Linked DNA regions of Tamandua tetradactyla. The protein of the gene in region 1 purifies or fractionates together with the protein of each later gene. This does not show direct contact. Links are inferred from orthologs where the notes say so. Each region holds a gene or a part of one and is shown on either strand. Other genes may lie near its edges.

Evidence for each region. Proteins that work in one complex are often made in the same cells at the same time.
Region 2: the proteins of PTPN9 (region 1) and LZTR1 purify together in Homo sapiens (affinity purification with mass spectrometry; 3 studies listed by BioGRID and IntAct, with this or other methods). This does not show direct contact. The link is inferred for Tamandua tetradactyla from reciprocal best matches to the Homo sapiens genes PTPN9 and LZTR1.

The regions. Positions count from the first base shown.
Region 1 is NC_135338.1:66,378,015-66,385,151, reverse strand, and holds the start of PTPN9 (tyrosine-protein phosphatase non-receptor type 9), read right to left. Parts: upstream 3,018-7,137; 5' UTR 2,319-3,017; coding exon 2,256-2,318; intron 1-2,255. UniProt on the Homo sapiens protein: Protein-tyrosine phosphatase that could participate in the transfer of hydrophobic ligands or in functions of the Golgi apparatus.
Region 2 is NC_135331.1:26,804,912-26,812,472, forward strand, and holds the start of LZTR1 (leucine-zipper-like transcriptional regulator 1), read left to right. Parts: upstream 1-4,551; 5' UTR 4,552-4,863; coding exon 4,864-5,063; intron 5,064-5,502; coding exon 5,503-5,565; intron 5,566-7,561. Other genes in the region: AIFM3 (apoptosis-inducing factor 3), read left to right, coding at 63-193, 315-430, 536-607, 715-778, 890-966, 1,055-1,172, 1,968-2,066, 2,258-2,333 and 2 more. UniProt on the Homo sapiens protein: Substrate-specific adapter of a BCR (BTB-CUL3-RBX1) E3 ubiquitin-protein ligase complex that mediates ubiquitination of Ras (K-Ras/KRAS, N-Ras/NRAS and H-Ras/HRAS).

The DNA.
Region 1 (7,137 bases):
ATTTCAGTTTTGCCTGAAACTGTCTGATAGCCCACCTTATTTATGAAATAAGATTTCAAAAGATTTTTTGCTATTTCCAAAAATAAAATTGACTCTTAAAAGTACAAGGACTTTCCAACACTGAAAATGTTTCAGACTCTGTCACAAGTTTTGAAAGTGACTACAAATGAGTTCTAAAATTGTTTGAGAAATGGGGCAGCATTATGGAATGACAGTATCATTTCCCATGATGACTACTTTGATGAGGCTAACACATATTTGCTGTTTAGCTTAAATATTTTAATGGAATCTTAATAGTTATGTGATATTAAACTAAAAGATGAGAACATGAGGCCTTACCATTATCAGAACTATGCTGCTTTTATATTTGTGTGTCATCATTTTGAAATGCTTGTAGAAACCTGGCCTTTTGTAGAAAACAAAAGGTAAGATTCAAACACACTCATACACACACACACAACCTCTTGACCTTAATATATAAATATTTCACTATTTTAATGCAGTCCTTTTTAATGCCTATTGCACGCATTCGAATGCGAAAGGATTTTATTAAATAACAGAAGTGTATATAAGTATACAGGCTAAAAACAGAGTAAAGCCAAGTTAATATCTTCATCCATATTTTGATATTTACTTTTCTGGTTTTAATATTTTAATTTGCAACCTAATGCCACTTTCACTGAAGGATACTGCTACCTTTAAGTCTTAGCCACAAAGAAACTTCAAACCTAACTAACCCAAGAAAAAAAAAGATGAATGAGATTTGCCCCATTAAAATCAACCTAACACATTATGTGTTAATACTGAAGTATTTCAATAGTTCTGGCAGGATGGTATCCCAGACCACCTGCTTGCAGTGGGTCCTGACTAGTATGTCATTAACACTCAACTGCAGTTATCAGGATGTTACCACTGCTTGCATAGAGCAAGGTTGTTGTTTTTTCCCCATGCTGATTTTATCTCCAGGCTGATCAAAAGGCAAGATCTGAGGCCAGATATGAAAAATGTCATCTCCACAAATAAGAAGAAAAGTCAAGGTTTTATATATACATAAAGCAAATCTTAAAGAAGCCCATTAACCAATATTAGTTTGTAAAACCAGATGGTCTCCATGCCAGAGATTGTGCTAGCAAATGCGGTCCTTGGGAGTAAGGGCTGGAGAGCACAAAACTGGTTACTAGTCTGGTTCATCTTTTTATTTTTTGTTGCTTTTTTGTTTTTTAATATGTTTTTTGTTTCATACTATGGCTATATTTGTGCATAGCTAAAGCTGGGTACGAGCAGGCCCAAAGAAGATACCGCAAAAAGCCTTTAAGGTTCCCAAGCTAACAGACTTTCCTATCTTCTTCAGAAGGAGTGATCTGTGTCTCCACAGCTGGAATGTGGGGGATGGAAAGTTAAAAGGGTCCTGGGCTTTTCCTTTACCCAAGCCCGCAAAATGATACCACCAAACCACTTCCTTATGGGGACTGAAGGTCATAAGCTTTAAGGGACAATGGAGCTCAATGCAGGCTTCAGAAAGATGGAGGCAGTCAAGATATTTCGAAATAACAGCAGAAAAGTGGGATGAGGGGATGTGCCCGGGCCAGGGCCTTCAGGAGCCTAGGAAGGCCAGGATCTTCCAGGATCTGACCGGGAAGGCCTGCCACAGCCCTCTGAGAAAGCCTGAGGAGCTTATTTGAAAATCTAGAGCATCTATGTACCCAATCAATGCCTATCATCACTCTCCTCGGAAAAGGAAATAATCTCCAGAGGACACCCTCCCCCCAAACTGGGGCTTTTTCTGCCCTCAAAAAACCATAAACCCTGACGGAAAGAAGGAAAACATTCATGGGGCGTGGAAGGGTCGGGAGCAAGGAGGTGTTCTGCAAAGGGAGTTACCGGCTCTTCCTAGCAAACGTATAGGGCGGGGGTGGGGAGGAGAAAGCAGAGGGAAAGGGAGGCGCCCCAGTTCAAGGAACTTTAATTACCACCGGGATGGGAGTGAGGGGGGCGGTGAGGGTAAATGAGGCCCGTAAGCCTCGGGGGTAGACAAGGCAGGGGTCTGGGGCAAGATCCAGCGGCGCCCCTCCGTTTCGGTGGATGACGACCTAGGGTGCGGTCGCCGGGGGAAAGACCACCCCATGCGCCCAGCGCGGGAGCGGGGGCGCTGCGGGGCCTGAGCCGCTGCCACAGAGCTTGGCTTCAGGAGGCTGGGCCGGCCTAGGCCTAGGGGGCCCGGACACACCCACCACCGCTGCTGCAGTCCCGCTTACCTGCTCCTCCTCCGGGGTCAGCTCCGGCGCCATGTCCGGCCGGGGCGCGGTCGCAGGCTCCATCCAGCCGCCGCCGCCGCAGCCGCCCGGCCGACAGAACTCGCCCGGGAGCGCGGGGCGTCCTCCTTCTCCGCTTCCGCGTCCCCGCGCCTCAGCAGCCCGAGGCCGGCTCGCTCATGGTCCGGACGGCGGGGCCCCGGCGCCCGCAGCCACCGCAAACGCCGCTTCTTTTAAGAAAAATGTCTCAGATCTCTCGCGCTCTCCTGGGCGGAAATCCTTTTTTTATTTTCTTCGCTCTTTTCCTTACACTCCTCTCCCAGAAAAAAAAAAAAAGAAGTGTAGGCGAGGAGATTGTAGTCAATCGCGATTTAAAAAGGAATTGGGAAATAACTTTTAAGGAGCAGAGCTAAGGGTCCGCGGCGGAAATTTCGCAAAGGCCGCCGGCCTTCTCGGGGCCCCGCTTCCTCCGCGGAACGTCCGCTCCTCCAGAACGTGACGGAGCCTGGAGGCCGCCGGTCCGGGCGTCCTCGGAGATGCGGGCCCCCGCGACCAGCGCGGCCGCCTCTCAACCTCGTTCCTCAGAAGCTGCGGAGGTAACCACTGGGAGCGACGGAGGAAAACGCGCCCCCCTCCCGGCTCACGGCCAACGCTGAGGCCGCACCGCGACCGCCCGAGCCCCCCGCGGCTCCATTGAGAAACTGAGCGTCTCATTCACAAACAGGCGGCGACGAGGCCCGGCGGTGCAAGGACGCCGTCCGGGAGGGGGAGACATAGAGGAGCCCAGGGAGGGGGAGGAGGAGAAGGGGAGCCCGAGGAGGGGGGAAGGGGAAGAGACGAGCCCGGGGACGAGGGAGGAGAAGGAGAGGCGCCAGGGGAAGGGGAAAACAAGAGGAACTCGGTGCAGGAGAGGGGCTGCGGGCCTAAAGGAAAGGAGACTTTGGTCTGCAAGAGAGAGGAATAGGAAGAAATGTGGGATTTATACGAAGTTAAATTCTTTAGAGGAGGAACTGAATACATCCGAATTATCTGGTGACCGACACCTTGGGCTGTTATTAACTTGCGGCTTCCACCTACCTGTGAGGTACCTACATCTGTTTCCACGCCACTTGCAGACTGAAAGACCCTGTAAAGGTTGCTTAGGGGTCATGATGCTCAGGTGGAAAGAATAAGCGCAGCTAATCGCAGCTCCATCTCACTCCTTACTGGATATATCCTGTAATCCATCATCAGTCTAGCTAATTTTAGCCCCTCATAAAAATAGCATCCGACTTCAAATCTCATTCAGGAATCATGCAGCCTTTGCAAACCTTTGATTTCTTCTATCCAGGCAAATGCCACAAAAAGTTGGGGGGTTTTACAGTGTTCAGGATTACAGGGTACGGTCTTGGGATCAGCTTGGGATAGCTGGGAGGGCACAGGGAAGGCAGGGCTGGGTCTGGAATGATTTTGCTTCATTCCAGACCAAAGGTAAATATTCCAAAAAGGACAATGAAAAAGTGAATGCCGCAGCTAGTCAGTCCCAAGGACTGAACCCATCCAGCATTGTTGTTTCAGATCTTGGGTCTCTGGAACCTGCCGAGACAGTCCTACAGAAGAGGAGAATGCTCTCGTCCTGATGTTGGGTCTAGTACCTTAAAAGCACCCTCTCACCTCACCTCTTTCTGCATCAGTGCAATAGGAACTTCTGGCTGACCTAGGTGAGCTGAGATGCAGAGAAGAAACCCCTGGTTCTTCCATATGTTTTTATCTTAGGTATGGTATTTTCTCCTTTGCATCAGTAAAGCTGACTCTGGGTTCAGTTCATCATACCATAGAGAAGTTACAGCTTCAGAATTGCAACCAGCCACTCCTCTGGAAGAGTCTATTTTATTTAGCAAGTATATTTATATGCCAAGCACTGGGTTATGCACTGCAGTTCCAACAACGAACCTGACAGTGTTCTCTCTCTTCCCTATCTAAGGATATGGTATGATCCCTGTGCTATATCATGAAGTGAAAAAAGGCAGACCCAGAACAGTGTGCATAATATACTGTCATTTGTCTAAAGAAAAAATGACTATGTATTCATAAACTCATTTATATGCAGAAAAGCTTTGAAGGGATACACAAGAAAGGTAACAGTGGTTGCCTCACAGGAGGGGAACTGTGTAACTGTGTGTCCAGGGAAAAGGAGAGGGAGACTTTTCCACATATGCTCTTTTGTACATTTTAAGGTTATTGGGTTGTTTTTGTTTTATTTTGTTTGTTTTTTCCTTTTTATTGAAGTATGATATACATGCAGAAAAGAGCAAACATGTACAGCTTGGTGAATTTTCATAAATTAAACACACACATGTAACCAGCACCCAGATCAAGAAATAGAACATTACCAACACGCCAAAGCCCCCGTATGCCCCTCCTCAAGGTAATACTATATTGGCTTCTAACTTGGCTTACTTGTGTGTATGTGTTTAAATATTGCATGCAGATGTATACTTTCAAAACAATAGTAACTTTAAACAAATACAGCTTTTTCCCCTAAGCAGGCAGCAAATGGTTCTAGGATTAAGTTTGAGTAAGAAATGGCAGGACCTGAATAATGCAAACCATTGAGTGGAGACAGGCGAGAATGGAGTCTCTCAACCCAATATTTACACTTTTGTACTTACTTTGCCCAGTGATCCCCAGGACACCAGTATCAGTGATTTATCCAAAGTCATGCAGCTAATTAATTCATATTGAGCTAGAAGTTCAACTCCCAGGCCTGGGATTCAGAGAGGAGAACTAACAAAGGGAGAGTTTTAACTGAGTGGGTTGGGAGAGAGAACTCAGCAGTGTTTTCAAAGGCACAGCTGTGTGTGGGCGTGCGGGTGTGTAAGGGAACAGTTCTCTGGAACTGTTGCCTATCACACCCCTAATAGGCTAATGCTTGGAAGCTTTTGATGGAGATATGGGTAACAAAACCAAGTTCAAGGCAAAGCTGGCTAGCTGGCTGGCTGGTTGGATTCACTCTGAGTGGCAAATTTCAGAGCCAGAGGACAAAGGAGTCTACCTGGCCTGCCCTTAACTTCAGGCCAATGAAATCAAGTATGGTACTGTCATCCTGTTCAACTGTAGCCATGTTTTGTGATAGCAAAAGATTGAAAACAACATACTGGCCCATCAGTAGCAAACTCCATAAATAAATTATAGCACATGCATGCACTAAAATAATATGTTGACATTTATTGAGTTACCATGTACCAAATACTATTCTAAAGAGCTTTCATTCATTTAATCCTACTAAAATACTGATAGTGAAATTATGATTCTCATTTTACAGAAAATAAATAAGGTAGATTCACATGGATTGAGACAGCCTCCTTACATTTTTGAATGCTTGGCTACAGGGCCTAGGAGGGAAGGCTATAGTAGAGTTGGGGGAGTGTGGGTGATAGACAAAACCACATTTTTATTAAATTAACATGAACAGTAAGGGTCACAATCTGAAAGTGGAAAATAAATTACAAAGAAGGAGCCTTGCTATGGGTTATACTTTTGTTTCTTGCTTTTAAAGTGTGAGTTTCAGGTCTCTGTCTAGAAAGCTATACTCCCTTTTCCCCCTACCTCCATCAGACAAATCTGACTCACCCTGTAAGTCTCAGCTCAAAAAAGTCACTTCTTCAGGAAAATCTTCCTAAACTACTCTCCAAACTGAATTAGACTCCCTGTTACTCTCTCTTACACAGCTTTCTCTCTTATTTTTATCAGAAAACTGATCATAATTAGCATTTATGCATTTGTTTCTATGTATGTTGGCCCAGTGTCTGCCTGCTCTATTAGACTGTAAGCTCCAGAAAGGCAGGGCCCACATCTCTCCTTAGCCCTGATATCCCTAGTCCCTACTACATAGTAGTTTAGTACAGAGCAGGCAGACACAGTAAATATGTGTTGAATGGCTGAAACCAATGAAGACTAGCCACCTTAACTCTTAGACCTCTACCTCACCATTTTCTCTTGACTTAAAACATTTGTTCAGGTGTAAGAGTAAAGATACTTCCAAAGCTGTGACTGTGACTTTGTAACCTTTGCCCCCAAACACCTTCACTTCTAAAATCCAAAGTTCCTCTCAAACTTGCTCCAAAATATCTACTGTCTATGAATGAGACGTGTGTTGTGCTATGTGTATATTGGCTATAAAAGATCCAAACAATTCTTATTGCCATTTTTCTAAGAAACACACCCAGAGAAGATAAGGTCATACTGCCAATCATCATTTAGAGTGAGAAATTTTTTTCTTTTTTTTTTTAACATGGATAGGCACCGGGAATTGAACCTGGGTCCTCCAGCATCGTAGGCAAGCATTCCTGCCTGCTGAGCCACTGTGGCCTGCCCAGAAATTTTTTTCTTATTTACTCTTAGGCCAAATTTATTATCATTAGGATGGCTAAAAGTTAGCTCTGGAGGGAAAGCGGGAAATTTTACCACATATATTACATTTCCCTCTTTATCCACTACTCTAAGGACCATTCCTTACCTATGGCTATTCTCTGCCTTGTTTTTTTTTTCTTTTAAATATACAATCTAATCTTTCTCTTTTTCAAACAAACATAATTTTCTCACTTGACACCCCTACCCACCACTTCCAGATCACTGGTTAATCACTCACTATTCTATGTTACTCCTGTCATCTAGTATTTGCGTCTTGAGTTTAACACCCTGCATTATAATTATTTGCTTCCTTGTCTGTCTCTCCCACTAGACCATGAGCTCTCTGAGGGCAGGGACCATGTCTCATTCATCACTCTTTCTTTAGAATATATAACACATAGTAGATGGTGCTCAGTCAATGTTTGCTGAATGATTGGATTGGTCCTTTTCTATCAGACAAGGTCCAATTCTTGCCAAAGAATACCAAACAGGT
Region 2 (7,561 bases), on another chromosome or scaffold:
GAGAGAGCTCAGCTGCTGGGGGACCCCCTTGCTGACCCCTGGGGAGGGTTGTCCCATCTCAGTCCCAAGACCCTGAGCTGTAAAGGTAAAGAGGTGGAGAATGTGGTGACCATCAGGACACCTGAGGATGCCAATCGTGTGGGCAGGCTGGCTCGGGACCGGAACGCAGTCGTCGTGGGTGCTGGCTTCCTGGGTGGGTGGCATCGCGGGATGGAGGCGGGGGTGGGGAAAGAGATTGCCAGCCCTGGAGGTGCAGGGTGCCAGCCCCCCCCACACTCCCTGCTGTCCCTTTGCCGCTCCCCCAACCCCCCCAGGAATGGAGGTGGCCTCCTACCTGACAGAGAAGGCGCACTCGGTGTCTGTGGTGGAACTGGAGGAGACACCTTTCAAGAGGTTTTTGGGGGAGCGTGTGGGGCGCGCCCTCATGAAGGTGAGCCCCAACACCCCCTCCCCCCTGCCCAGCTCCTAGGCCCCTTGGATCCCCCCACCCTCACCCCCATGCCCAGCCCCTGGCCCACCTGCCCCCACCTGGCAGATGTTCGAGAACAACCGGGTGAAGTTCTACATGCAGACAGAGGTGTCTGAGCTGCGGGCCCACGAGGGGAAGGTGGGTCCCTGCCACCCGCGTCCCATCATGCCCCCCCCTGCCAGCCACCCAGCTCTCACTGTCCCTTCTGCCCTGGGCCACCTGCTCACCCCACCTGCTGTCCCCAGCTGAAGGAAGTGATGCTAAAAAGCAACAAGATCATCCGGGCTGATGTGTGTGTGGTGGGCATTGGTGAGTGCGGGCTGGGTGGGGGGGGAGGAGTGGGACAGGCTCAGTGTCACCTCTATCAAATGGGGGGCATTTTCCGGTGCCCACTGCCCACTCGTGTCCTGCCCTGCCAAGGCGCCGTGCCTGCCACCAGCTTCCTGAGGCAGAGTGGCATCTGTCTGGACTCTCGGGGCTACATCCCCGTCAACAAGGTGGGTGCTGGGCTCTGCCCTGGGTAGGAGGTCCAGGCTGGGGCCCCTGACCCTGCCATGGAGCTCTGGGCCCTGTCTCCTGACACAGATGATGCAGACCAATGTCCCTGGCGTGTTTGCGGCTGGTGACGCCGTCACCTTCCCCCTGGCATGGAGAAACAACCGGAAAGTGAACATCCCACACTGGCAGATGGCTCACATGCAGGGTAGAGTATGGCTGGCCCTGGAGAAAAGGTGGTGGGTCCTAAGGGGCTTGGCTCAGGCCCCTGGGAAGTGGCCATTGGGAGCCGGTCACTAGAAGCTGTCGAGCACCCCCGAGGAAGAGCTTTCCCTGCCCCACACAAGCCCCCCCCCAAGCCACACCTGCCATGTGCACCTGCAGGGGTCCCTTAAGATGCAAGTGCCAGCAAGTTAGCCATCTCACTGCCTCATAGGGAGGACCCCAAGACTCCCTTCCACCCCTGGGACAGGGGACTCCACCCTGCACCCACCTCTTCTTCCCTCTGTCTTGACATTTTTGGAGTATCGGCTGCCAGGAACCCCACTCCTGGTACCAGTTCTGTCTGAGTCCGAGATCTATGGCCAGGTTGGAAGGAAATAGAGGCTACTCATCAGTCATGCATCATAAGGGTTTTCCTGGGAGGCTTATGGAACTGTCAACAGAGCACCCCTGCAGAAGCGGGGCAGCCACCCATGGCCACTCTCTCTGGGGCCCTCGGTGCTGTTATCTGTCCCCCTCTTCAAGCCTGACATGGCTGGTTGGTCAGGTACACAGTAGACAGGACCCCAGGGCACCTCAATTCAGATTCTCCATGCAGGGAAGGAATGGAATGGGTTAGCTTTGAGCCAGGTGCCCCCTCCCAGCTGCAACAGTGGGTGGGCAGTGAGCTGAGCCACAATGGGGGGGAGAGAGAGCTGTGGGGGCGCTCAGGTCAGGCAGTGGTGGAGGGGGAGGAGGGAAAGTGAGGCTGGGGGGCATCTCATGGGCCTGGATCCCCCAGGTCGTGTGGCAGCCCAGAACATGCTGGCACAGGAGGCAGAGATCAGTACTGTCCCCTACCTCTGGACGGCCATGTTCGGCAAGAGCCTGCGCTACACAGGTGACCGAGGGCCTGGGGGTGGGGCTTGGGCATTGAGGGCGGAGCCTAGGACCTGGAGGTGGGGCTGAGGATCTGGGGGTGGGGTCACGACAGAACTAGCAAACACCAGCTAGGACCGTGCTGGGGGTGGGGCCTGAGAGGGGGCGGGGCCCCGATCCTGAGAAGCCCCACCCCCTCCACGTGGCCCACAGGCTATGGGGAAGGCTTCGATGACGTCATCATCCAGGGGGACCTGGAGGAGCTGAAGTTCGTGGCCTTTTACACCAAGTGAGTGCAACGGACGGGAGATGGGTCAGGAAGGGGGGCCTCCTCCGGGACAAGGTGTGCTCCAGAAGTGGGGGGTTTACCCGGAAGGTGCAGCCCATGGCTGGAGCCAGGGGCAAAGGGGGTGGACATAAGTGAGGCAGGAGTCCTGCAGAAGGAAGGCCACGAGGCAGGGGTAATGGTTGCCTATAGCTATCTGGAGGCCCGGCACTCGACCTTCAGGACAGCTCTTCCAGGCAGGTGTTGACACCCCACCCCAAGTGACAGCAGGGAGAGAATGGTGACTCTAGGACAGGAGCCAGGCCCAGGAGGAAGCCAGGAGCCTCCATGGGGGTCCCAGGGGAGCCCTGAAGCAGGAGAGCTGCATGCTTGGAACATGCCCCTCCCTGGGCTCTGGGTGGACAAGGGTCAGTCAGGGTCCTTTGGGAACTGGAGGGGATGCTCGTGGGACAGTGCTCAGGTCCGGCCATTGTCTACCTACAGAGGCGATGAGGTCATTGCTGTGGCCAGCATGAACTATGACCCCATTGTGTCCAAGGTGGCCGAGGTGCTGGCTTCTGGCCGAGCCATCCGGAAGCGGGAGGTGGAGTGAGTATGGGCATGGAGGCCTTGGGGTGGGGAGAACAAGGGGGGCCCCGTCACAGCTCCCACGCCTCAGGGCAGGATGGGGCTATGGGGCATGGCTGTGGCTTGGGAGCCGAGCGGGAAATGTGCTCATGGGGGAGATGTGGAAAAGGGAGGGCTGTGTCCCAGGGCAGAGCCAGGGCTCTGGGATGGGACAAGGCCCATTTCTTGGACTGTCATCTGTCCTGGGACCCATGGCAGACTCTGGACACCAGCCACTACCCCTCCCCACATCTCTAGCACAATGCAGATAGGAATCAACCTGTGCCTTCTGAGAAGCCCCAGGGACTGGGGAAAGCTTGAAGTGGGGGGAGGATAGGGGCCACTGGGCAGGGATGAGGGGCGTGGGGGTGTATGGCCTGAGCTTGGAAATGAGAACCAAGAGGGGATGCAATGAATGACATCCCCTCTTCCTGGCCTTCTCTCTCTCTTCCTCTTGCCTTCACGAAGGCTGTTTGTGCTGCACAGCAAGTACGTTTGTCTTTCTTTGTCCTTTCTGTTGAGGGTTCTGAGCCTTCCCGGAGGGGGTTCTGGTCTACCTTCTCTGTCCAAGTACACACCTCTGCTGGGCACCAGGCCTGGCATGGAGCAGGCCCCAGGCTGTCTTCAAGGGCCAGCTACTTGTGGTGCCCAAAGTGGGAGACCCTCTCATTTTCTGCTCTCATTCCTCTTCCTTTTGTTCCTGCAGGACCGGCGACATGTCCTGGCTCACGGGGAAGGGCTCCTGAGCTCGCATGCAGGAGACTTGGGCAGGAGGGCCGGGGTTCGGGGGACAGAAGCCAAGTCCTGGGGAAGGTGCCAACTTCCCAATTTCCCAGGATCTCCCAGGACAGAACTCGATCCCTTCCATCGCTTGCCTTCCCCTTGCCTAGTCTCTGCTGTCCAGAGATGCCCTGGCTCTCCTCTGCTGGCCTCTGCTGCCACAGATGGCTGGCACAGGAGTTGGGACAGGGCCTGCCTCTTCTCCCTCTCTTGGGTCTGGTCCCCTCCGGGACCTTTTGACGTCTCAGATATTACGTTAAAATAAAAAATGCACACATTTGCAGATCTGTGTGACCCCCAGTGTGATTGGGGAAACACTCATGGGGGAAGAAGCGGACATGGCTCTCCACGGGAAGACACAGGCACACCCCCAGACTTCTCAGTGCCTCACCAAAGAAGTTTGGCTTGAGGGGCGCCCAGAGGAGCTAGCAACTGATTCTGCCTGCGGGGTCAGGAAAAGCTTCTCCCAAAGAGTGGAGATTTTTGAAGGAAGGTCAGTCCAGGCAGAGGGGAGTGCCGAGGGCTCAAGAAAGGAAATGCTTCTTCAGAGGTCAGAGGGAGACTCATGTCTGGCAGTTTGGGGGGCACCTGCCACCTAGGGCTGCAGGAACTGATCCTGGGACAGATTCCGTTTTCTGGGACCCTGCCAGTAGATGGCAGAGGAAGAATGGGAATCCAGAGGCCCTGCTCTTTTCGCTGCTCCATGCTGCCCCCGAGCCAACGAGAACACAAAGGGGAGACCACGGGGCCGGGGGGGCCGCTGTGAGGCCGGAACCTTCCCTCCGGGATGCCGGGAGCGGCGGAAGGTCTAGGGCGTGGGACACCGGAAACTGCAGACCCTCCGCGGCGGGGGCCTGGCGGGCTCCGGGGAAGTGTAGGCACACAGGGCTGGCGGCGGAGGCTCCGCGTTCACTAGAAGCGGGTCTCGGGCGCCCGTACTTCGCCGGAAGGCTGCCGCACACGGTCGCAGGGAAGACCCGGCCGCAGCCCAGTGCCGCGCCCGTCCGTGGTGTCCAAGCCCAGCTAGGCCTGTCCGGAAGTGCGGTAGCGCCGGCCGGAAGTGTCGCGCCGTGGGCGCAGGGCGAGCCGGAAAATGTAGTCCCGTCGAGTGGACCCGGGCGGTGGCCGCACATCCCGCCGACCCGGGATGGCTGGGCCCGGCGTCTCGGGGGTCCCGATCGGGACCGGGGCCCTGGCCGGCGGCGCGCGGTCCAAGGTGGCCCCGAGCGTGGACTTCGATCACAGCTGCTCCGACAGCGTGGAGTACCTGACGCTCAACTTCGGGCCTTTTGAGACAGTGCATCGCTGGCGGCGCCTCCCGCCCTGCGACGAGTTCGTGGGCGCTCGGTACGGGCGGGATCAGGGGGGTCCTTGGGGGCGGACGGTGGTCTGAAGGGGTCGCAGGGGCGAGGCCTGGACCTGATGTCCCGGGGGGCAGGGTCTGGTCTTTGGGGGAGGGGTGGGGGAAGGGGGTCCAGGGCTGGGAGGGGACGCCGAGGGGGACCCCAGAACGAAGTGACCCCAGGGCAGGGTCCGACGGCGCAGGCTTCGGGGTGTCTGGTCTGGGACCCTGGGTGATCTGCGGCAGGGTGGGGAGGTCCAGGGAGCCCCTTACATTTGGGGGTGCAGGTGGAATTTAGGGTCCTCAGTAGGTGTAGGAAGGTGAGAGGGGTTACCCCACTTTGGGAGCAGGCTTCTAGCTTGGTCTCATCCTTTGGATGCTCCCCCCTCCAGGAGGGTCCGACTTTACGATCCCCCCCCACTCCCACCCCATCTTTTCTTCCAGGCGCAGCAAGCACACAGTGGTGGCTTATAAAGATGCCATCTACGTATTTGGTGGAGACAATGGGTGAGGACGTGTGGGGACCACTGCGGGGGGTGCATGGTGGTCAGGGATGAGCTCCTGTCTTTTGGGGTTCAGCTAAGGCTCAACTCCCCATCTGTGATGCCCCGCCTCCCAGATCCTGGTGAGAATAAAATGAGAGCCTGTCCCTAGGCCAGCAACACACATGCAGTAGGGATACAGGCTCAGTACACAGAAATGTCCCCTTGTTCTGGGCGAGTAGACACAGCTTTGAAAGGACCATGTAGGCCCTTGCTGTCACCTCCCCACCAGGTAGTTTTCCTTCCCTGCCCTCCCTCTGGGACTTGCCCAGCAGCACATGTTGCAGCTGAGAAGGCACAGAGGACACGGCTTTATTTCCTGCATTTTTCACTTTCGGTGAGGATCTTCCTACGTTGTTATAAACTCCCGGCAAGTAGCCTTCCTGGCAGTGATCTGAGGTCCTGTTGGTGGGACACCTCTGCACCCCTCCTACAATGCGGCCAGTTTTCCTTAGTAAACGATCACAGCAAAGGGAAATCTTTGCCTTATGTAGCCACTGCCTACCTCGGGAGCTGGACCTTTGAAGAGAGAGGAGCTTGTCTCAGCGTGTGCTGGGCCATGTCACTTACTGGGTGGGGGTGCTGTTCTGGGCAAGGGAAGTAGAGTTCTGATTTGGTTAGGGAAATCTTACCAGAAGGGATGATGACCTGAAAAATTAGTAGGCAGGCTACTAAGTTTTAGGAGGCAGGCAAAGGAGGGAAGGGACTTCCAGGCAGAGAGAGGATAGGTCAGGAACAGTGTGGCAAGGCCCGATGACCACACAGGGCCTTCCCCCCTTCCCTAACTCATCCATTCATTCGTCGTGCTCAGGAGAAAAGCCCAAGGACACCAGGAATCTGGGCAAGGATGGGAGTCACCCAGAGGCGGGGCTGAAGCTTAGTCTGTTGGATGGGCAGGGCTCAGCTCAAATTAGAGCCTTGTGGCTTGGGGGTCAGGCAGGAAGCGTAACCACGCCAAGTGTGCTTTGGCTTCCTCTGTCTGTGGGGCGGTAGCTGTCCTGCTGACACCCCCAAGGGTCAGGGAGCATGTGGCCATGAGGCCCAGCACAGAGGAGGGAGAGTTTTTGCAGCCGATCCTGCCCTTGAGTCCTGCTCCCACCTTTCAGCCCCAGGACCTGATTGGCACTGCATGCCTAGGTCTTTCAGGGCTCCCCCAGGGAGCTGACTTGGGGGGCTCCTGGCTTCCACCCCATCTCCCCACATGAGCAGCAAGAGAGACCCGTTTAAAAATGCAAGCCACAGCGCATCCCTCCCCAGCTCACAACCCTGAGATACCTTCCTGCCTTCCTTGGAGTAAAAGCCAAAATCTTTGTAGCAATTCCTGAGGTCCTCTGCTCTTGCCTCTCTCACACATCCCTTTGCTGCACTGTAGCTGCACCAGCTGCCATACTGCGTTTTGATTGTGCCGAGCACCGTCCTGTCTGAGGCCTTTGCATTGGCTGTTCCCCTCTGCCTGGAATGCTTTTCCCTCAAGGTGTCCACCCGGCCTACCCCTGTCCCTCCTTCCCCTGCCCTCCTCTGTGCAGCTCAGGAGCAAGGCCTTGAATGGCCTCCCAGCCCCTTCCAACCCCTCCATCCTCCTTGCTGGAATGTCAGCTCCACCGACGCAGGGTGGTACTTTGTGCATGGCACCCCATGGCCCAGACGAGGAATAAATGATATTTCAGGGTCTGCAGGCATTTATTGGCACTTTAAGGAGAATCCCCCCCCCCAAACCATAGAAAGCTGCAGTGCCCACCCTGGGCAGTGGAAGTGGGGTACAGGGGTGCCAGTCCTTTAGACATTAGAGTTTTGTGCAAGGAGCAGAAACATGCTTGCTATAATGTGACACTCAGAAAAAAGGATACAAATGTATCTTTATTTTGAGCTGCAACTTTGTAAGGCTAGCTGGGTACAAAGGAAAATGGCCTGGGGGGTGTGGGGGCTGCAGGTGGGATCACCTAGCTGCCTGTCCTCCAGCC